Linked DNA regions of Drosophila melanogaster. The protein of the gene in region 2 interacts with the protein of the main gene of each other region in a pairwise test. Each region holds a gene or a part of one and is shown on either strand. Other genes may lie near its edges. The genes, in order: Targ, Syx6, meigo and CG18480.

The links.
Region 1: the proteins of Syx6 (region 2) and Targ interact in a two-hybrid assay, tested with the Drosophila melanogaster proteins (one large-scale study listed by BioGRID).
Region 3: the proteins of Syx6 (region 2) and meigo interact in a two-hybrid assay, tested with the Drosophila melanogaster proteins (one large-scale study listed by BioGRID).
Region 4: the proteins of Syx6 (region 2) and CG18480 interact in a two-hybrid assay, tested with the Drosophila melanogaster proteins (one large-scale study listed by BioGRID).

Annotation. Positions count from the first base shown.
Region 1 is NT_033778.4:14,666,547-14,672,189, reverse strand, and holds Targ (tarag), read right to left. Parts: upstream 3,800-5,643; 5' UTR 3,775-3,799; coding exon 3,752-3,774; intron 3,743-3,751; exon of another isoform or gene 3,692-3,742; coding exon 3,090-3,691; intron 2,923-3,089; coding exon 2,672-2,922; coding exon of another isoform or gene 2,668-2,671; intron 2,604-2,667; coding exon 2,267-2,603; intron 2,217-2,266; coding exon 1,600-2,216; intron 1,539-1,599; coding exon 1,046-1,538; intron 982-1,045; coding exon 725-981; 3' UTR 515-724; downstream 1-514. Other genes in the region: CG12860 (uncharacterized protein), read left to right, coding at 5,499-5,643.
Region 2 is NT_033778.4:11,218,009-11,222,845, reverse strand, and holds Syx6 (syntaxin 6), read right to left. Parts: upstream 2,913-4,837; 5' UTR 2,523-2,912; coding exon of another isoform or gene 2,488-2,522; 5' UTR 2,466-2,487; coding exon 2,225-2,465; intron 1,919-2,224; coding exon 1,217-1,918; intron 1,063-1,216; coding exon 986-1,062; 3' UTR 508-985; downstream 1-507. Other genes in the region: CG9084 (uncharacterized protein), read left to right, coding at 3,679-3,763, 4,464-4,640, 4,683-4,837.
Region 3 is NT_033777.3:21,136,344-21,140,881, forward strand, and holds meigo (medial glomeruli), read left to right. Parts: upstream 1-1,926; 5' UTR 1,927-2,145; intron 2,146-2,211; 5' UTR 2,212-2,517; coding exon 2,518-2,722; intron 2,723-2,774; coding exon 2,775-3,236; intron 3,237-3,346; coding exon 3,347-3,696; 3' UTR 3,697-4,022; downstream 4,023-4,538. Other genes in the region: Usp8 (ubiquitin specific protease 8), read left to right, coding at 372-602, 666-1,120, 1,177-1,507. UniProt on the Drosophila melanogaster protein: Probable sugar transporter.
Region 4 is NT_033779.5:15,628,192-15,635,510, reverse strand, and holds CG18480 (uncharacterized protein), read right to left. Parts: upstream 5,429-7,319; 5' UTR 5,319-5,428; coding exon 5,137-5,318; intron 5,071-5,136; coding exon 4,968-5,070; intron 4,851-4,967; coding exon 3,893-4,850; intron 3,827-3,892; coding exon 3,417-3,826; 3' UTR 524-3,416; downstream 1-523. Other genes in the region: CG7631 (uncharacterized protein), read right to left, coding at 6,001-6,548, 6,611-6,827.

The DNA.
Region 1 (5,643 bases), 3.4 Mb from region 2:
GCAGAGACTTCAATTAAAAATGGATTAAATTAGAGGCGACGATGGGGAAGACTACTGACAATATTAAAAAACACAAGAAAGATTTAGACACAGGACACAGAGGATTGGAGTCATTCGTCCTGCGGATGTCGATTCAAACATTCTTATGTTTATGTGTTCACATTGATTTATATTTTTTTTTTCGTTGCTTTAGCTCTAAATAATATGTAAAAAAATCATCATAAAATATAAAAAATGAAGAAAAAAAAAACAAAACATTGAACAGTAGACGTACAAAGTTTAGAAAGCAAATCAAAGTAAACAAGAAGCGTGAAAATTTGCATACCCAAACAAGGAAAAATGGAAACAAAACCAAATGAAAAACCAAACACAGCACACTTGAACCTATAAGCGTGGAGCCAAAGTGTGTTGTTCAGCAACTAAGCTAATATTAGATGTAAACTAAGCTAACTAATAACTTAAAATGGATTGCAATAAAAGTCAACCCCAAAAAGAACTCACTTGAATTGAAATTATATTGAAAATAAATCTGTAATAAGGAGGAAGTAATAGTTAATGACATCGGTCAATTAACAATTACATGGATATACAAACATTTACTCAGAATTTGGAACGAGGACCAGTAAAAAAAAGTCATAAAAATGCCTAAGCTATTAGTTGTAAGACAATCCCAAGTTCCAAGCAGGAGAACCAATAAATATTGCAATTCCAATAGTCCAATTCCTCATTGGGCCATCCTGTTGCGACATTTAATAAGCAAGGGCAGCAGAAGCTTCAGAAATCCGGACACTATGAGACATAATCCCGCAAAGCAAAAGGCAGCAGAATAGTTTCCCGTGATGCCTATCAATTTACCAGCAATTGTAGTCCCAATAAAGGCGCCCATTCCCATGGCCAATGAGGTAATCCCAAAAGCGTTGGTCAGTTTTGAAAGTCCCAGGTATTTCACGTATATCAAACCTCTCAGTGTGGAATAAACAGCTATTCCATGGAAATGAGAGAGGGTAATATTGTAAACTTAAGTAAGGTAAGTAAATGTACGCACCAGGCGCTACAGCATAGGAGAAGCCATACAGAAACTGGAACCAAATCAAGTTCTCTCCATAGAAGGCGCTAATCAAAACGGAAACACCACCGAAAATTAGACCACAACCACAAAGTCCGAGGGTCCAACTACGCCTTTTGTAAGCGAGGATGCCAAGGATGTTTCTCATCACAAGATTACTAATTCCGATAATGGGGCCGATCATACGGGCATATTCGACGGGGATCGTGGTTCGTGCAGACGAGTAAACAAAGGGTATATTAAAGCCCATCGGGAACAGAAAGGCGGACGCCACCAGAATCTTGAACTCAAACTGTTTCAGCAGGCGGTAGTCGAATAGTTTGAGCACAGTGAGCATAAACCGGCTATTCCTACAGGAATTTTGCTTTTTCTGATTCTCGTTTGACCATCTTCGTTCCCTATGAACTCTAGAAATCCTATCGGGTTCATCATCCACACGAATGTTCTTGATGCCATAGTTCACTTGCTGGGTCTAAGTGAAAGTTGGTGGTGTTCTTAAGTTGAAGCGAATTTATTCTTAATACAACACTTACGTTCTTATCCGATCCCATTAGTAGGAACTCCTTGCCGTCGACGTTCTCCTTGCTGTGCGGCTTTTCGTATTCGGCAGGACCCGTATAGAAGAGATCCTCCCGCTCCAGGGGCGCCGGGCGGATGAGCAGATTCTGCTCATCAGCATTTTGCGACTTCTTCCGCCGCCTCCAACAACAGTTCGAACAGGAGGGGCAGAACTTGGCGCATCCTTTCTTTTTTGGGCGTGGCTCATATGTACTTAGGATACTCCGGCTTTTAGCAGTCATCGCGGATTGACGTAAATAGTCATGCACGTAGAAGTTGCCGTAATACTCATCCGAACTGGTATCCGAAGAACCGGGTAAATGGTACATGCCCACCTGGGTGGGAGCCACCTCCACATAGGCGACCACCATCAACAGGATCAACATTATCAGCCCCGCCTGCGTCCGCAGCATGTTCCTCCATCCGATGATTGGCACCAGCCAGCTGTTGAGGAACGTGAAGAGTACTATGCCCGCACCGCCACCGCTGCAGGAAAATCCATTGGCCATCGGACGGTACCGCTCAAAGTAGTAGCCAACAATCAGCTGCGAACTTGCCCAGATCATGCTCAACGTAATACCACCTGCGCAGGCTAGTACTATTATTCATCGAATATCGTACAGCAATCTAGAATCAACCTACCAAGGACGCTGTAAAAGAAGATCAGCATGGTCAAGCTGACGCTCCAACTGGACGCCAGTATTGAAACTGCGGAACACAGGACCCCAGCGATGGCTACCTTTCGGAAACCAAAACGATTTATCAGGACAGCAGAAAACGCTCCGCTAGTGAAGTAGCAACCAATCTGGACACTGGCCACAAACGATACCGACGATATGGAGACATCCAGATCCTGGGCAATGGATGGCAATAAGACCCCAATGGTAAAAATTAAACCATCGATTATCAGCTGGGCGAGGAAGGACAGCACCATGATTACCCAACCGAATCCGCCGTCCGGTGGTATCACCATATAGATCTGTGGATGACAAGAGTCGTCATTCGTTTCTCAATTCACCACCACAAGAATGCTATTCACTCACTTACAAAAACCATACCGGAGCCAAGTCGTCTTCCACCACGGCTAAAGTCAAAGGACTCCTTCGAATTTTTACTTTCCATGTCGAACGATTGCTTGCGCGTTCGATTTCCGTCGTATTCGCTGAAAGATTCCGGCGATGCGGTATCGGCCAACTGTACTGTAGTTACATTGAACGAGAGACCCGATTCCTGTTGATCGGTTTCCTTAGGGACCACATATGAATCCTCGGAATCGTATTTGGGAATCAAGGGGGATCCTGTAAGAAGGCTACAGTTTTAGCTACAAGAAATGCATTTGGTAGGTTCCTCAATTTCAAGCAAATGGCCAAAAATAGCTTAGACAAAATTCAATTGCATGACAATAAAATAAAAATAAAAAAAAAAACATTTTTGTAAAAAGGAAGGCAGCGCTATGATAACTTACTCTTTTTATAAAACTTTTGCGTTTTGGTAATGAGTGGTTCTGCCCTATCATATTCATCCGTATAGCTAGTAAAGCTCAACATCTGAGACACCTCATCTGTGCTCTCGATATATTCATTCTCATTATCCCTGTGTGTGGACAATTCCTTGCTAAATCCACGGGTCCTAGAGTATTTTTTCTCAAAGGCCGGTTCCACAAACGGCACCTCAGATATTGGCTCAATTGGCCTAGATGGTGGAATTGCTGGCTGGTTTTTCGAAATCTCAGGCTCATTTGATGCCCCCACAAGCATATGGGGAAATCTTCTGATAGGCAGCTTGGGAAGAAAAGTTGGATTAAAGCTTTCGTAGAACGAAGGCAAATCCACTTCACTCCCGTGAGACTGACTAAGGGACAAGAATGATGTGCGCCCATTCAGGATATCCGTTGAAACTGTGCCGACGGCCACACTGACCATTTGTGGTCGCGTGTTTCGCGTATCATTGTAATAGATGGATGAGTTTTGAACCGAGATGTCCAGCCTGGACAGAGATTGGGATCTCAAGCTACTTCCACTTGGCTGTGCAGCGGCGGTCTTATCTTCATATTGGCTGCTGGGGAAGCTGAAAAACAGAGGGATTTGGTCGAGTTGAGTGCTTTGCTGGGCGAACAGACTCAGTCACCTTCGCCTACGATTCCTGCTCATTTTTCGACTCTGTCGCAGAGTGTTCCTGACATCTTTCACAAATCTCTCTGCGTCTCGACCCGAACCCAATGCACAGTGGCTGGCTACGTGTCTGGCTGCAAGATGAGAAGCCCCAGCAACAGGAACGGGAATTCATGGGGATTCGTGGGATTCGGGAACTGTCGCCAGACATTAGCTGCTCCTGGCTACCAAATGCTGTCATGGCTGCCAGGCGAGCGTGACAAACGGAGTTGGTTGGTAGTTGCTTGTTGGTGACCCCCAGTTGCTCCTCCTCCGCAATTGCCCCACTGCAACTGTTACTTTTTAGCCATCGCCTCGCCATCGCCATCTTCTTTTGCCTGGCGAATCCCTATTGCCACAACCCGATCCCAGCTCCGTTCCACCCGCTTGCCTGTTTATTTTGGGGCCGAAACAAAATTGCATCAGTGCAATTTCATTGATTGTAAGTAAATGAAATCATTCCTTAGTCGTCTGAGTTTTGCACGGAGAGCGGAGCGATTGGAGTGGAGCGGCTAAAGTGCATCTCAGCTTTAGGGGCAGTAACTTCATTGGCAGTCACTCAAAGGCAACAAGAGCTGAAGTATTGGGGTCGACTGTTTCCCCAGTTGATTAAATGGAAAGTGATGCCCGGGCTCTTGAATTGGAGGCAGTCGGTCCATGCTTTATGAAACAAACCTCGCCCCTGGAAACTTTAACTAAGCCAGCCCTGCTTTTGCAAAATGAATTACAAACAAAGTGCACTAATTAATTAGCGTAAAGGCCAGCAAACTTTTCGACCAGCCACTTCAGCTTCATCTACACCTTCCCCCCCCCCTGGATTTTTCCTGTTCTCCCGCGGGGGAGCACCGATTGCAGCGGCTATTTTTCCTGGCCAACAACTCTATGCGGAAATTGTTTTTTTCCAAAAGGTTCGCTCGTACGTGCTCGTTTTTTATGGCCCACGTTGTGTTTTCCTATTTTTCGATTTTTTTTCCCCTGAGCGCCTTGAAATCGAAACGGCCAAAAGATTGCGCTGCCAAATTGTTAACAGCAATTGACCCAATTTTATGGGAGCCCTCATGCATGGCCACTCTCGGACGGCAGTGACTCCAATGAAAATAGCGGCGTAAAAGCGAAAACTGCCCCGAGAACAGCAAGCAGCGAGCGGCGACCAACGCGGCGTATACTTATTCTAGTGGACTTCTGTTGTTTTTTTTTTCGCAGGGGGTCAGCTTTGTATGTATATTTTTCGTTCTGTTTTATTTTTTTTTTTTTTTGTTGGGCTTTGTCGTTTGGCTGGCTGCACTCTGTTTGCATTTAACTTGCAAACAAGCTGGGGCAAAAATTCGTAAAGTGAAGGTTGCGTTGCCTATTTTTTCTTTATTGTTATTTGCCTGCAAATCAAGGCAGCTGGACATTGCAAATTCGCTGGCATCGAATCCATTCGCAATTAACTGCAGAACAAACAAGGAAAACCCATTTGGTCCGTGGCCCGGAAAAGGCTCAATTCGCGACAGTATTCGAGGAATTACACACTTAAATCTGGAATCCATAGAGAAGTAGCTGTTGAAATGTAAATAAAATAGATCCCATCATGGCGGCCTTGGACTAGATTTCTTGCCAACTATTGGTTCAGCACCTTGGTGTTAGCCAGATCAAAGCAGAGCGTTCGCCTGTACAGACCAAAATTTCGTGTCTCTCAACCTGCCACAGCACCGGTTCCAATCCAAAACCTCCGTTTAGTTATGTTTCTGGCCAAAAGTTCATCAATACTTCGCCCGCAGCTTCTTAATGAGGTGAAGGGACTAGTGAAGTCACAATTTCTGGCTCTGTCACAGGTCGACCGACGCTTTGCCCACTCGGACGATAGGTGCGCCAATAAGAAATCCA
Region 2 (4,837 bases):
GGAAACGTGCCGCTCTGCCCGTGTGCTTATGCTGTGACCCAGTGGCGTAGTCCGGATTCCCCGTAGGGGTTATGTTTCAAGCCTTTCGAAGATACCCCTTTGGTTGCGCCACTGTGCGCAGACTGTAAGCTCGCCAAAAAGCTCCGGGCAAAAGCATGCAACACAGCTGAGTGAGTGGGCAAATCGAGTGGGCTGTCGAGTGGTTTTGGGGCGCAGAGAGAACATGAGAAGGGGCCTGATACCCTCTCCTTGTGCACAGAGAAAAATTTGGTATTAAATACCATTTTCCAAATCATTGATCTATCAGAAGATAACATCTTGACTAATCCTACTATCCTTAAAAACATTAAAAAATTTGAAAGCTTGTATTTCCAATTTTTGTTTAATTTAGGCTTTCAAAATAGCGAACAAATTTTTGTATATGTATACAATTTCTCTCTGTGCACTCATACAGTATTTCTAGGTGACCCGTAAGAAGTACCTCATTTGGCTTTAAATTAGGAATTTAATTTATAAGTATATATATTTACTCAATTGCATACAAGTTTTTGCTAGATTTGGTTAGTGAAATTTCCTAAGACTCTTCGTTAAATAACTCGTTTGATATTGGTAGGTCCATTTTGTTTGTATGTATATATATGCAGATATATCCTTCGATGTATATACAGCTTACAGTTGCAGTATCCTTTGGCCAAATTGGGAATGACAGAACTCTGGAGCACTTGGTTTATATGTAAGTAGTTAGTTATCTTTTATTACCCGCCTACATTGACTTTACATGATCATTTGTCCGTAGCTTTGGAATTACATTATATATATATAGAGAGAGGCGGCTGGTAATAAATCAGGTTAAAATGTTTCCGTGTATATACAGCAAGGGAGTTTACATGGAATTGTAATTAAGAGCCCGAATTCAAAAGCAAGCTAAGTCATAAATAAATCTAATTTACACTAAATATAAACGATTTGGGAACAACGAAAGCAATTACAAAATAATAAACAAAATTATCACAAACAATAACAGTCCGGATAGGATGAGAATGGCGGCCCACTGTCGTTTATCTGTGAAAGAAGATGGATACAGTTAAGAATTAGGAATCAGAAGTCACAAAAGTATTCAATGGGTAATTTTGATTGTGGTTCACTGAAGCATTTACTCTTCATTAATATTTCAATCAAAATAGTCCTTGAATACCACAAGTGCCGCACCACTCACCATTATTCATGTGCAAGACTTTGGCAACTTTCTTCATGGTCGTATCCAACTTGGACTCCGTGGTATCGAACTCGTTCCCAAAGTCGTCTAGCATGACGGCCTGCTCATCGAGCTCAACGCCAATTTGCCGCGAGACCGTCTTGAGGGTACCAATCGAATCGCTGATCATGTCTAGCTGCTCATCCTGTCCCTGGATCATACGCTGCTGTATGGACACTGTTTCGCCCACGTACCTATGACTCGGACTGTCCATGCCGCCGTGATGCGTCTGCCCATAGTGACTGGGACTGTCCAGGGCGTTCTCCAGCTTGGAGTACTTGGTGCCGCTGTGGCGGGATGCTGCTGCCGCTGCCGCCGACATGGTCCCAGCTATGGTATTGGCCACCTGACTGCCGCTATTGATCAGCGAGTTGCCGTTGGGACACTCCACGAGGTACGTGCGATCGTTGTGTGGATGCTGATGGTACTCGTTGGAGTTGGAATTCGAATTGGGTATGGCAATGGAATGATTGTGATTGGGGCTGTGGCGATCGTTGTCGAGCAGCGGCTGGTGTGCGGTGATGTCTCTGTCCCGGCTCCGGTTCAGGCTCATCTTATCCTTCATCTGCTTGACCTCATCGCGAGTGTTGTCGATGAAGTGGCGCCGGCTGGAGAGTTCGCGGTTGTCGATCCGAAACTTGCTTGGATTCTTCTCAACGATGCGTGTGAGTCAAAATGGTATGGGTTAAGGAGAAAACCGAGGAGACTGATGAGCTAGAAAGTCGGTTCTACCGACCTTAAGATACCAAGTACTCTTTTTTTACAATTATAGTGCCAAAAAAACAAGTTCTGTACAGTTTATTAGTATAATACTAATAAACGAGCGAATTAAATCACGAATAAATTGCATATTCAGCAATTTTAAATGGGATCTCAACCTCTTTATGCGAAAATAAAACAGACAATGCAATTCGATAAATGAGTACCAGGTAACGAATTGATTTTTCAATGGTCTTTGCAAAAGGATATTGATAGTGTCCTCGAGGTCCTCGAGATCCCACTCGATGCTCCGTAGCGAGTTACGCAGCTCGGTGGTGGTCCATTCAGCCTCCGTTCCGCCGTTCTCGCCCAGCTCCCGCCAACGCAGATAGAGGCCGCGGGTTTTGTTCAGAGCTTTGAATACCTCGCTGTTGGGGAAGGGGAGGGAAATGAAAGAAAAAACAGAGATATAAGTAAGATAGCACTTTCCACCAGCAGTGCATGTGGCCATCTGCCAAATCGGGGACACCTACTCCTTGACCACGAAAAACGGATCCTCCAGAGACATGCCGCGTTCTCTTCTTGCCACAAAACGAAAACTAACACTCCTAGCAGTTTTTCACCAGCGTGGCGCACTTGACGGTTCTTTTCATGGATTTTTCCGGGCGAAAACCACCCCCCAAAGGTACAAGGGGGCAAATTGCAAGTTGGCAATAGCAAAAGCACTTCGTGGGAGTTACATCAAAAGGCAAGCAAATGGGGAGCAAATTTTTGCTTTCAATCCGTTCTATATAGCAGGAATTTCACAATCGACTGGGTTTTATCTTTCGCCTAGCAGCGATGTTTGAACAGCACGTTTATTGATTATTGCACTTGGACCCGCTCCGCCGCTTATCGCTCGATTTCTTGTGGATTCCGCCGACTTAGCTGGTTCCACCGATGGCCCAGAGAACACTGTCGCTATTTGCGCTCCAGAGATTAAGCCCCCACCGAGAACCACTACCCCACTGGCATTTGTTTACGCCGCTCCCGCTCCAGCGGCTGCGCACTTTGGTTCCTTGATTACCAACCCCTTGACTAACCGATTTGAAAACAACCCGAATTTTGGCCAAAAAATTCCACAACAACAAATCGTCGGCCAAATGGCCAGCACTGTTGCAATTTTCATCGCTCGCTCACCTGCTGCTCGTCTCCACGTCATTTAGCAAACTTCGGTCCGAGAACACGGTGACGGACTTTAATTTCAAGTTCACACGAGACAAATTCTGATAAATAAATTTAAGTAAAGGTTTTATTTCTGTTTTGCTGCTAGCAAAATAAACCGTAAGGCTTAGTATGACCCAAGTGCGATAGCACGTTTATCCCGCGATAATTTAGTATATATCGCAAGTGCAGAAAATACGTTACTAAACAGTTTGAATCAGGTGGCAGCTCTGGATTTGAATATATATTTATCCACATTCAGCTTGAGCAGCATAAACGAATATTTTGAAAACCTGCAACATTCGCATGAATTAAAGTTTACAAAATAGCACTATAAATAAGCTATTATTACTATTTCACATGAGAACGTTCGTAATAGAGTATTAAAATCATCTGAGTCAGGAAGTGTGACCAGGCGAGGGGCACAAAGCACTTAACTTCCGTTGTGCTACTGCCCCACTGACCACCGTTATCAATTTCATTTAGACCGCCGTCAAATAAGTTTGAAAAGTGCTGGCGAAATGTTGCAAAACAACGCGGTGCGCACTTTGCAATACGACAGTGAGATCCGTGTGGCCCAGCAGCCAAGTCTCTCAGAACCGAGAGGTAATTTAGGGCATATGGCTTTAGAAAACGAATAAAAACAGCGAGTGAATCACCCTGGCAAAAGGGTAACCGAATTGTTACCAACTGATAAGCAGTGCACCGGATTAATTATTGTTGCGAGCGAGTGTGTCACACAGTTCGACGCAAAAATGCGGCCACAAGTTGGCTATATCTTATCGGCCAGCGTTTTGTTATGGTCTGCGACTCCTCAAGTGCCTTTGTTTGGGACGATCGAACCCAGCGATCAATCCGATAGTAAAACCGTACCCATGATATTAGCTGTATCCTATACCAACATTTTCCTATTCCAAGAAAAGTAATAAAATATTTATGTGACAAGATTATGAAAAAATCGAAAAACTACTAAAGTTTTAATCTAAACGATTTGTTATAACCACAAAATATTTTCAATAATATTGCTATTACTCAGAGCTATTATTAGCAGAATGTTCAACAACCATTTTTATTTAATTCAAATTCACTGTAAAATTATGATCTTAAAACTACAACTTTAAATGAAATTTAAATTTAATTAAAATATTAAAAACTTTCAAAATTCAATCTATGGAAAAGTTTGTAATACCCTAAAGATATGGAAAAGGTTTATAAAATCTTAGTTCAAAGATAACAATATGGACAACCTTACGATTCTGCTCGTATTGGAAAATGGTCTATATACGATTTGTTTGTTTTTCTTCAGTTTATGACTCCCATATCAGCATTACCTCACAACCCAGGCCGGAGGCTCCACGCATCCCGCTGCCAGTGCCAATTGCCACGGTTACGGGAAGCCGGACGCTTATCCCACTTTCCGGATACGATTGCCTAGCAGATCTGCCGTCCGTACATATTGAACAGACCTTTGAGCTTAACGATGGTAAGTACAAGCCCAAAAATTAGCTAAAATCGCTTCTAATAGTTCGTCTTCCCTTTGCAGCCCTAACAGGCGTCTCCTCGGAGAATCGATATGTGGTGCGATCTCCACTGGGTGATGCCATTTTCGCGGCCAACGAGAGTTCCACAGAAAAAAATCGACTACTTTGGGGAGCTGGTCGACCCTTTCAGATGCACCTG
Region 3 (4,538 bases), on a different chromosome or scaffold from region 2:
GACTCACTGGCCACATAAATATAGCCGCGACACGAGTCAAATCAATAGCCAGCGGGTCACGTTTTGAAGACACCCGCCCAGACGTGCGCCGTTCTTGGTGCGCTTTCTACCCCCACTCTCAGTCGCTCGACGTCCGCACTCAAAGCATGTTCAAACCAAAGAAACGTACAATTGCCATACTGTTAAGCAGGAATAGCATTATACAGGATTCCGCGAATGATTTGTGTAGCGGGCGTGAGGCTCCAGCTGCCAACAGCTCCGCCCACCTACAGCATTTATAGCTCCATCTTTCCGCTGAGACGAGTAATAGCTATAGATTTTATTTTCCTCTATCTCCGAATAGTTAACTATATCCTTGGATAACATTTCAGGGTCGTGGACTGACTGGACTGAAGAATCTGGGCAACACCTGCTATATGAACAGCATACTGCAGTGCCTGAGCAACACGCCTCAGTTGACCGAGTACTGCATTTCGGACAAATACAAGAATTACATCAGCAGAAGCAACAAGACTAATGGCCAGGTGATCGAAGAGGTGGCTGCACTCATCAAGGAGCTCTGGAATGGACAGTACAAGTGTGTGGCCAGCCGAGATTTGAGGGTATGCAACTGAAAAAAAAAAAACACCCAAATTTCTTTCTAAACTAAACATACTTCATTGCAGTACGTTGTGGGCCAGTACCAGAAGATCTTCCGCGGCGTTGACCAGCAGGACTCACACGAATTCCTCACCATCCTGATGGACTGGCTGCACTCGGATCTCCAGACCCTACATGTGCCCCGTCAGCGGGAGATGATCAGTGCGTCGGAAAAGGCTTGGCTGGAATTTACCAAGGCGAAGGAGAGCATGATTCTGCATTTATTCTATGGCCAAATGAAGAGCACTGTGAAATGTGTGGCCTGCCACAAGGAGTCCGCCACGTACGAGAGTTTTTCTAATCTCAGCCTGGAGCTGCCGCCAAACTCGAATGTATGTCAGCTGAACCAGTGCATGGACATGTACTTCAGTGGAGAAAGGATCCATGGCTGGAATTGTCCTAGTTGTAAAACGAAAAGAGATGCCATCAAGAAGCTGGATATATCGAAGCTGCCACCTGTGCTGGTGGTGCATCTTAAGCGGTAAGTGATGCTAACACTATGCTATGCTTGTTTATAATTTCTTAAATCCCGCATAGCTTCTATGCGGATCCCAGTAACTCTGGCTCGTACATGAAGAAGCAGAACTACTTGCGCTTCCCGCTCGAGAACTTGGACATGAATCCCTACATAGCACGGGCGGAATCGCGGGCGGTAACACCTAAGACCTACCAGCTGTACGCCGTATCCAATCACTACGGCACCATGGAAGGCGGGCACTACACGGCATTTTGCAAGAGCGCCAACTACGGAAAATGGTTCAAGTTCGACGATCAGGTCGTCTCGGCGTTGGACTCCTCTAACGTGGTTTCTAGCGCTGCATACATTCTTTTCTACACCTGGCTGCCACCCATGCAGGTGCCTCTGTAGACGCTTCGCTCGGTTTCCTTTCGGTTTTTACCCCTTTCGTTTTAATTGTTTTTTGTTTTTCTCTCATATTATAGCTTTTAAGGTCTAGTCGCCACACCCTTTTATCATTTACAAATTACCGCTTAACTGTTAACTGCTATTTAAGAGGATAATCGCTTGTTTGTTGTTGTCTAGGCTCTTAGAACAGTATTACGCGTGGGCGTATTTTCAATGGGTGCAGGCTGCATTCACTAAAACCAAGAACTTCAAGTGCATTACCAGTGTAACAAAGAGAAGCCCGCATATACGCCTGTGTATGCGGGACTATAGTTTATTGTATTTTGCAAATATATTTTAAAACCAAATAAACGAAATTCAATTTCTGATACAAAGAATTTCTTTGAAAGAATCATGCGTAGGGTTTTTAGAAAACAAATTGGGGAGAGCGGGTATTTTACACTCAACAAATAATATAAAAAAGGGGGTGAAAGTTATTTTACCATTGCAAAGAAAAATTCAGCTAATTTTCGCGCCGAAAAGTTCAATTCGAGATATCCGATAAGTAAATATATTCACTTCCAACTAACGGTCACACTGTAAAACGCCCCCGCTCTTTAGCAAATGCAGTGTTGCCAACTCTTGCTTTCAATAAATAGCTAGTTAGTTGATTTATCAATTATTACATTTATAGTGTTTTATGTATGCCCTATTTTTCATTTATAAAGAGTTATGATTTAAACTTATTAAATAAGATGATGAAATTGATGATTCAAAAGAAGAACATAGCTATAACAGTGCACCTAAAAAATGGCCAAAAATACAGGTGCTTGCAATCACTTAATCTAATCTGGCTAGTAGCCAGCTAAAGCGGCAGCACCGACCACGTATTTGATTGGATTATTTGATAGTCAACGCCAAATCACGGCACTGCAGCCGCGACTCCAGAGAATGCCAACTGTTTAGGATCGTGCATTAAGTCCGACTTAACCAATTCGCAAGTCACACGCTTTAAAAACCGTCATCTGCCCGCCATGAATCTGCCGGAACGCAGCCGTTTTGTGATCTACGCCGTCGGTATCTTCGTATGCTACTTCTTGTACGGAATTGTCCAGGAGAAGTTGACGCGGGGCCGCTACGGCGAGGAGGTACAGACAGATGGATCCGTGGGAGAGCGCTTCACTTACGCCTTGGCCCTTGTTTGGGTGCAGTGCCTCTGCAACTATGTGTTTGCCAAGGGTAAGGATTACGTGGACTTGTAACGAATCAATTCTGATCTGTGGTCTTCCAGTGCTGCTGACCATTAGGCCGCAAAAGGAGGACACCACCAACGCGGGCTCCTACGTGGCCTGTTCGCTGACCTATCTTCTGGCCATGGTCTCCACCAATATGGCCATGCGCTGGGTTCCCTATCCCACTGCTGTGGTGGGTAAATCCGCCAAGCCCATCCCCGTCATGATCCTGGGCGTGCTGATTGGTCGCAAATCCTACAGCTGGACGCGCTATGCTTGCGTATTGACCATTGTCCTGGGAGTTATTCTCTTTATGTACAAGGAGGGCAAGGTGTCCAATTTGCCGGCTGAGACCACGCTTCTCGGCGAGGTGCTGCTCTTCCTCAGTTTGTCAATGGACGGATTGACTGGAGCCGTTCAGGAACGCATCCGAGCGGCCAGCGCGCCTTCCGGTCAGCAGATGATGAGGGCCATGAACTTCTGGAGCACCCTGATGCTTGGCGTTGCCATGGTATTTACAGGTGAGTGTTAAAAACACTTTATTTGAGCTAAAAATATTGGCTAAGACCTTTTTATGTAAGCCCCATACGTTTTTATAAATGTTCTGAAAAACTATAAAAAAAATCTTCAGGTGAGGCCAAGGAATTCATGTACTTCACCATCCGACATCCCGAGGCGTGGACCCATTTATCGCTGATAGCTGTGTGCGGCGTGCTCGGTCAGTTCTTCATCTTTCTGATGGTGGCCAGCTTTGGACCTCTGGCCTGCTCCGTGGTTACGACGACGCGAAAGTTCTTTACCGTCCTGTGCTCCGTTCTGCTGTTCGGAAACGTCCTGATTGCCCGCCAGTGGCTTGGAGCTGTCCTGGTGTTCGCCGCACTCTTTGTGGACATGCTGTACGGCAAGAAGGCGCCACTGGCTACGGCCAAAAAGCCGCCAGTCGAGGGAAAGCTATCCGAGGAAAAGAAACTGAATTCGTAGAATTTGATAGATGATTGCATAGCCCTATGTACTGTACATACACAAATTAAGAAGACAATGCTTCCGGCTCGAGCGGCTGCAGCGCCAAAGTTTCCCCATTTCCTAGAACTGCTTATCGTACAAAGGATTCTAGCTATAGCGAACACAGCATTCGATACTTGATCTGCAACCCATAGACCGTCGTTTAAGTTAATTAAATTATTGATATCTATTAGAAAAGGAACAAATATTGTGCAAAAGTTTACACCAGACCTGCGGGTCTCTAACATACAGGATCATTCAATCATTTAATGCTACAATTTATAATTAAAACGTGCTCTTTTATTAATGGTTGTATTATTTATATGGAACGTTACTAAGAAGGCCTAACAAAGGCAACTTATTTTCTGGCTCAGTTTAATAAATATTTTCCCATTTTTTTTTGTATTTTCTTTAACTTGAATTTAAAGCGCTTAAATCAGAGCTGCCACCTTACACGAAATGTGAACTACGTTCATAGGCAAAAGTAAGATGCTATGAAACTCGAGTTCCAAGATAAAATATCAATTTCGTGTTATACTGAAATAAGATTTAATATTGTGTTAGCTACTATATAAACCGTAATAATATGAAAAAAAGACTACACAAATTAGTTGTATCGATACCGCGACGAATCAATTGGCAACAATCGATAGGATCACTTTGCCGACCCTGGCAACTCTAGTTTATTGCCGTAGCCGTTGCAGATACGGTCGAAATTTTCAGAATGTTTTTAAAATGTATAAATCCAGTGTGCGCAATGCTAATTATACAATAAACTAATCGGGACGAAAATTTCCGAAAAATAAAAGAACGCATGTTTC
Region 4 (7,319 bases), on a different chromosome or scaffold from region 2:
GCTCGCTTGCCGTTGTCGTTTTCTAATTTGATAAAGATAAAAATCATTTAGTAAACGCCCTCGACGATGTCGCCGTCAAATGTGCATGCCCCTGACAGACGGGCAGGCCAAAGGACGGACACCGAAAGCGGGACACACCCATTCCAGGACACGCTCTCGCAGCTCCTTGGATGCCGCTTAATTGAATGCTCATTTCAACGAGGTCCAGCTCCTCTGCTCTGCAACATCGCTGGGTTTAATTGCATTTTTATTTCATTTCCCAGCAATTATCGCAAGTTCGTGTGCAAATTCTATAAAGCAGAGGAGAAGAAACACGGAAAGAAAGCTTATCTACAATTAGCTCGAATTATTTAAATAGTAGTCATATTTATTGATTATGAAAATCAATTTGTTCTATAAGATAAGTTTCAACTTTAAAAACTTTTTTTCACACACAGAATAGGTTACTCCAATATATAAAAAATAAAATATACATCATTAAAACACTTTCCTAAAACGCATATTAAAATAATTATGTATCCTTCGTAAGTTATTTTCTCGCAGTGCTGAGTTCAGTAGCTTGAAGCGTTGAGTATGTCGCACCTGCAACATCCCAAAGCCAAGAGGTCAATCGTGTCATGAGTGTATCTGGGCCATGTGCAACTAGTTAGCAGCTTGTGTGAGTGTGCTAAACTGTGGTCCGGTGTCCTGCGAAACCGTAATTAAAGGTAGCCAGGACTTTTAGCCAGCTCCTTGCCAGTTCCTGCTGATATTTATTGTCGTAGCTGCGCTTTCTGCCCTCTTATTGTCAGTGCAAGTCCAAGTTCCTGCTGTTGCTGTTCCTGCGAGTTGTTAGCAAAGCAATTAGCATGAGTTTGTTATTGCAACACACGGCAAGCAGTCGGCAGAGGATAGATAGAAAGTTACAGGGGACACGGCGACCATGTCCGGCACCTCCTGAAAGTTTTACACCGAACCCAGGGGCGAAATGCGCCGCACCGAATGCCAGCAAATACGAATTTAATTTATTTACTCTGCAGCGGTAAAAGTGCTGGCAAATAGCCATGTAGCGCTTAACACTCCATAAACAAATCACAAGTAACTGAAACTTATGAAATAGAGATGTACAGACTAATGGCAGTGCAATTGGAAAGCGGAAACTTGATTTGTACTGAATTTTGGTTGGTCGGTGAAACTGGAGATATAATTGGTTTTCTTAAAAAATGGTGTGGTGCCAATTGAAAGGCGAATTATTTATAATACACATATTAAAACATATCAATCTTATCTCAAGTTATAAAGCTATGTGACCGAAAATAAATCTAACCAATCAAATAACCTTAATGTAGGTAATGCTTTGAAATGAATCGCCAAGGCAAATGACCCGACCGGTCGTAAAGGTTTGTTTTCAAAGGACACCTCACCCCTTTGATCTACTCTCAACCATTTTCCAATCAGTTTTTCTTACGCCAATTCCCTTTCATATCGAGCTCCATAGGTTTTCGAACCATGGCTTAGATTTAGTGCAACTTTCGCCTCCAGAATCCTAAAGTCTGAGCCATCTCATCACTTACTACTTTCTTTCGGGGTAACCTTCAGCACCTTTTAAGCCGCTTGCCATGTCCTTCAATGCCTCAAAAATCCCATTCAACCACCACCTCCCGGCGGAATCTGTTGCTTTGTTATCCTGGCCCTCTTATATTGCATTTTATTCACTCGATGGGGAGTTCCTACTCCGCTTGGCTGCATTTCCTTTGGGGGAAATGGGGGTTTGATTTTGGTTTGCTGCTTTTGCCACCGCCAGCTTCATCGTGGATTATGCAAAAAGTTTTTCATTAATGTTGGATTTAGATATTTTTTCACGCTCTGCAACTCTGCTTCCTCAGCCCTCCTGGTGCGAGCATTTTTTCGCCAAGCTTCCTCGATTTGGGCTCCTCATTTCCTCACAGCTCTTTTCCCAAATCCGCTTTTTTCCTGCGTTTTGGTTGTTGACAACGCAACTTTGGTCCCAGGATACGTTAACTTTTGTGCACCACAGTGTGCTGCAGCGCCGGGCTCAGTGCAATGAAAGTTGGCACCACAAAACACAGATACGTTTGGATAGATAGATAGATAGCTAGACAAACACTTAACAACAGAACCCACAAAGATGCCGCGCAGCAAATTTGCTTCACAAGTGATCTGGCAAATGGAGAATGAATTAAAGGAAAACGCACAATGATTTCGAATGCCGTTTAGTCCAGGAAAATGCTGTAAAAAGGTTTTTTTTAATGCAAAATAATATTTACAAGTTTTTCTAATTTGAATATTGACGGATTCATAACACGTCTATTCATAATAACCATTTCAAAGATATTTAAGCAATAATCAAAATTCTTTAGTTATTTCTTTTTCAACCAATTCATATAGGTAAATGTTCAATTTGATAAATTATGTTTGTAAATATTTTTTTTTATTAAATTGTATGAAGATACCTCGTAGTTCAGTGCACTGCCACATGCCGTTTTTGCCACATGATTTTTTTTTTACCCATTGCAACATAACTTGGACCTTCTTTCTTTCCCTATATATATTTATTCTTTTTCCGTATCTGGTCGGGGTTGTGTGGTTGTTTCTTTGGAGACACTTTTGCCGCTTTGCAGTGCAAATTGTTGGGTTTGTCGTTCTTTTTTTGAGTTTTATTCTTATGGCATTTTTTGTGCGGTTTTATTTTCCTTTGTGGTGTTTTCGATTTATCTGCAGGGAAGGATTGGGGGACGGGGGGCCTAAAAGGACCCATCTTCTTTCGCGTTTCAGCATTTATTTGAGTGTGTAAACTTTTGCTACTTGAATTTTTCGGGGATTTTCCTGTGGCAATTTCACAGTTGGCCATGCCCCATCCCCACATTCCCCCCAACGTTGCCAACTTTGATAGTTTTGTCAAAAGTTTTTATTGCGATTTGTTGCAGCTGCAAGTCCAAGTCTTGTAAAAGTAATGCTTATCCAAAACGAGAAGCAAAAATGCTGGAATTCCCCAATTGATATTTTTGTGTGTAAAATGAGAATGAGGAAACATTGAAGTTTTCAAGGGCATTTTGGCCGCCATGTTGTGGGCTCTCTAAAATATCGTTTGGGGGCTAAGTGCATTACATGTTGTACTTAAAATAGTAGTAGGCTAAGAAAATATTTTGAATACAAACATAATTTTATGTTGCCAATAAAAAGTGCATGAAGTAGACTTTCTTAATAAATATTTAGTAAACAGCTATGACGACTGCGATAGTTGATGTTGATTTGAAATATGACATTTTATATTTTGCCAATATAAATGATTAGACTTTAAATTTGTAATTATCTCATATAGATTTGAATAGTAAATAATTGAGGTCGAGAAGAGCGATAACTTAGATTACTTTTAGCTTATACGAATGTTTGGCTATATTAAAAAGATACTCCCTTCACTTGTTATCACAATTCTCGATGACCACCACATCGCCGTAGTTTGGAGGCGGTGTCTCCGGTCGTATCGCCCCACTTTCAATCACATCCGTGTAGAATCTGGCCGTAGAAGTTGGCGGTTCGGCGGGGGAACTCGGTTCCCGGTCGCGACTGGTGAAGAGGTTACTCCGACTAAGGCGCCTTATGAGGGTGGCCGTATTCTGATTGATGGTCCGGTAGTACTGACTGCGGGCCGGACGACCAAAGAGCCGGGACACGAAGTTGTCCTGCGGTCCGTAGGGTTGTCGAACCACGGCATGCGATTGAGTACTACGGGGACGCTGGGGATTAGAGCGCCTGGGGTTGCGCGTACGCTGTGGTGACCAGGTGTGTATAGTGGGTAGGCTATCCTGCGAAGGGTTCAGAGGAGCTGGGGGAAACAAACAAGGGAAAACTCTGTCAAATATTGGTCAATCACATAATTGGGCAGACCTACCTGAAACCCCAGTGGCCACTTCCGGGTTACTTTTCTTTTTGCGCATCTCACAGCAACTCTTGAGGCACAGGGCAAAGGTAATGATGAAGATGACCATGCAAACGCCCGTGGCACCGCCCACCACAAAGGCCAGCTTCAAATCATCCTCATCGTAGGTGTGCGTGCGTATGATTTCATCTTCCAATTGGGAGTTTCCGCCAGCCAGGAGTTCATGACTCACACGCTCCAAGCAAATGCGGTATCTTAGGCACAGTTTCTCCCGACTTCCCTCACACACATCGCTTAGCGATGACATCTGCTCGTCGTCCTGCGAGCTGTTCTGCTCCTCACTGGAGTCCAGATCCCGCCAGACGGACAGCACGGATTGGGGTCCTCGGGTGCTGGGCTCCAAGTACTCCATGCTTTCGAACTTCTCGTTTTTATTAGGAAAATTCACAGCTTCCGCATCGTCCTGGTGATCCTGAACCTCTTCTTCCATGCAGTTGCTCATGAAAATAGCCACTCCGCGCTGTCGCAATCCAGTGGCCACTTTGGCTAACGCCCGATCGCAGTTGAAGGGATTTTCCTCAACATTCAGTGACGCCAGATTGCGGGGTGCATGAAAATCTCCAGGACTCAGGGTTAACAGTAGATTCTGTGCCAAATCCAGTTGGCGCAATTGAGGCAAGGCACTCAGAAGCTGGGTTCCAAGTTGATTTACCTGCGAGTTGCGCAGATTGAGAGAGCGTAGCGATGGACTTCTTAATATAGGTCCTTTTCCCAATGTGGACAACTTGTTGCCTTCCAAATTAAGGTGGATCAGTTGGTTGTTGGATTCCAGGATATGTTCATCGATCTGCTCCAGGCGATTGTACGATAGATCCAAGTAGCGTAGTCTGGTCAACTCCACAAAGGCATCCCCATAAAGTGTGTGTATCGCGTTGTGGGCCAACGTAAGATTAAGCAGGTGGATTGTGGTCTGCAGGAAACACAATAGAGTAAAAATAATTATTTTTGGTTAAGCAGTATATGTGTCTAGGAAATCATGGAAAACAAAAACATTGGTGTCACTAATCTTTTCCATTTGATGACTTACTTTGAAGGAGTCATCGTCAATGGTGGTTATATCATTGTAGCTCAGGTCCAACAGCTCAACCGTTGTAGGTATTTCTATATTGGCGCTTATCAAGCGCTTTGCGCTGCACAAAGAAATATATATAATATAACTCAACCGAAATAATTCCCCAAATCCGATGACAACTCACCTGCATACTGCGCGATTGCGCTGGGCGTGTAGATCACAGTGGCAAACAGTGGGGCAAAACATCTGCGACTGGGTCTTGCTTCTGCAGACCTGCAGAAGAACGCAGAGCAACAGGCCTACATAGAGAAGTATCTGCTTAAGGCCCAACCACATTTTGGGTTTTGTGACACATTGCAGAGCCATAAGCTGAATACTATTCGTAACGACTGGAAGGAACCTTCTCAATTACACTTCATCGCCATTTTCGAGATGGTTGGTTTGGGAATGCTTGGTAGTTCTGGACTGACTGAGTGTTCAAAACTCGTCTCTCCACTTACTTCATGACTAACAGTTGAGCTGCTTTCCAATGGTGAGTTACCTTACATTTACTGGGTTCCGTCAAAATATTAAAGAACGAATTTCATCCGATTATGAATGTGCTCGGCTTGTGCTCTACACTTCCACTGCAGATAAGATAAGCGTTTTTTTTTATTATCTAATCAGCTGATGCGGCTATGTTCGTGTTTCGATGAAAGAGCGCCAAGTTTCGGACTTTCATTTGTTTGGAAAATGCAGAGCTATAAAATTTGGGTTAAATTAGTTGCTTGCCATTTCCTTATCATCAACTTTTTGGATACTTTTCTTGATGTTTATATATACTTATTTGTTTAATCTAAGCGATGAAATTAATCAGTTAACACGCTTGCAGAATCGAGTGTTAAATAATCTCTTATTTTAGTGCCTATAATTTCCGTAGTCAGGCCAAATGATAAAAAAAGCCGGAGCATAAGTCAATGACTGAGAATTTTATTGTATAAAACTGAAAAAAAGTCAAAAAGTTTTTAAAATTTATAGGCCTTTTTGACCTTCAAGTTTATTGCTATTTTTACAATTGAATCGGACACTTGTACATGGTATTAAGTCGTTTGACATCGGTGTCACTCATCATCAAGCGCTGTCCCATTTGCTCCTGACCCTCTGGATTCAGAGCCACAATTGTCGCTTCCCCATTTATAGAAAATGCCAAGGAACTGTAGTGTAGAATGCTTCCATAGTCATACGGCTGATCGAAATCCCCCACCTCGTCTTCTTCGTACTTGACAAAGTTCTTCTCGTGACCCTCGGAAATGTTCTCCTCCACGATCTTTACGAACTCATCTCGATTCGGGGAGCACTGCTGATGGTGGAATCCCAAAGTGTGGAGCAGTTCGTGTTGGATGGTGCCCAGCTTAAAGCAACCTGTATCCAATGAGCCAGGCTTTAGTTTGACAGTTCTTTCACCTGGCTGATAGCCCACTTTGGAGCTGCATCCTGAAGTGGACGGAAGCACAAAAAGATAGTTTTCCTCATCCTCATCAGCAGGCACAAATCGAATACAAGACGAATACTCGATGAATTGCATGCCAAGCTTTATATATTCCACATGAGGAGCATCTGAAAAGTAAAATTGTAAATAAAATTAGTTTTGGAAATTAACCATCCAATGCGTATCTTACCAAACTCCTCAGATATCCTATACGGAACTGTGGCGTTTGGCCAGCGTCGTGTCTCGGATAGCTGTCCATTCCGGGCGTAGTCCACATCCATATCACCCTGGAAGTATCCTGCAGTCAGCTCTGGATCTGTTTCATCATAATGGGTATTAAAGGGGGCTGGGAATATGCCAGAGCACAGAGTGCCCAGCAGGAACAACTGAAACCAGACACGAATCATTTTTGACTGAATTAAATCGAATTAACGGCTAATGTAGTGCTAATTATCGCAAAATTATTAAGAACTACTTGTGATTGATTAGCGATAAGATACCTCGTTATATAAAATACAGCAAAAATGCGAATTTTCCCAGAAAACGGTGGGTGCCTGAAGCACTTCCAAAAGCTGTTCGTAAGCTTATAAAAAAATTGGTGATCTGGTTCTTAATAACTTGCTGGGCAGCTCACTGCCAAAAAAAAAAAAAAATCAAGTCATATCATATGTATTTATATGGACGAATAGTCTTGCATATGATCTGGATTACATCACTTAATCAAAAATATACATTATTAATTTACTTTTATTGTATTTATATGTTTTGTAAAACAATTGTTTGCTTACTAAAACCCAAGAAATGTTTGGGACTACAAGTACAATGTTTCAAGGCGACAATTTGTATGCCTGTGGGGAAAAGAATTAGATGCCCTTAAGGAGATGTCTGAGTTTTCTCCG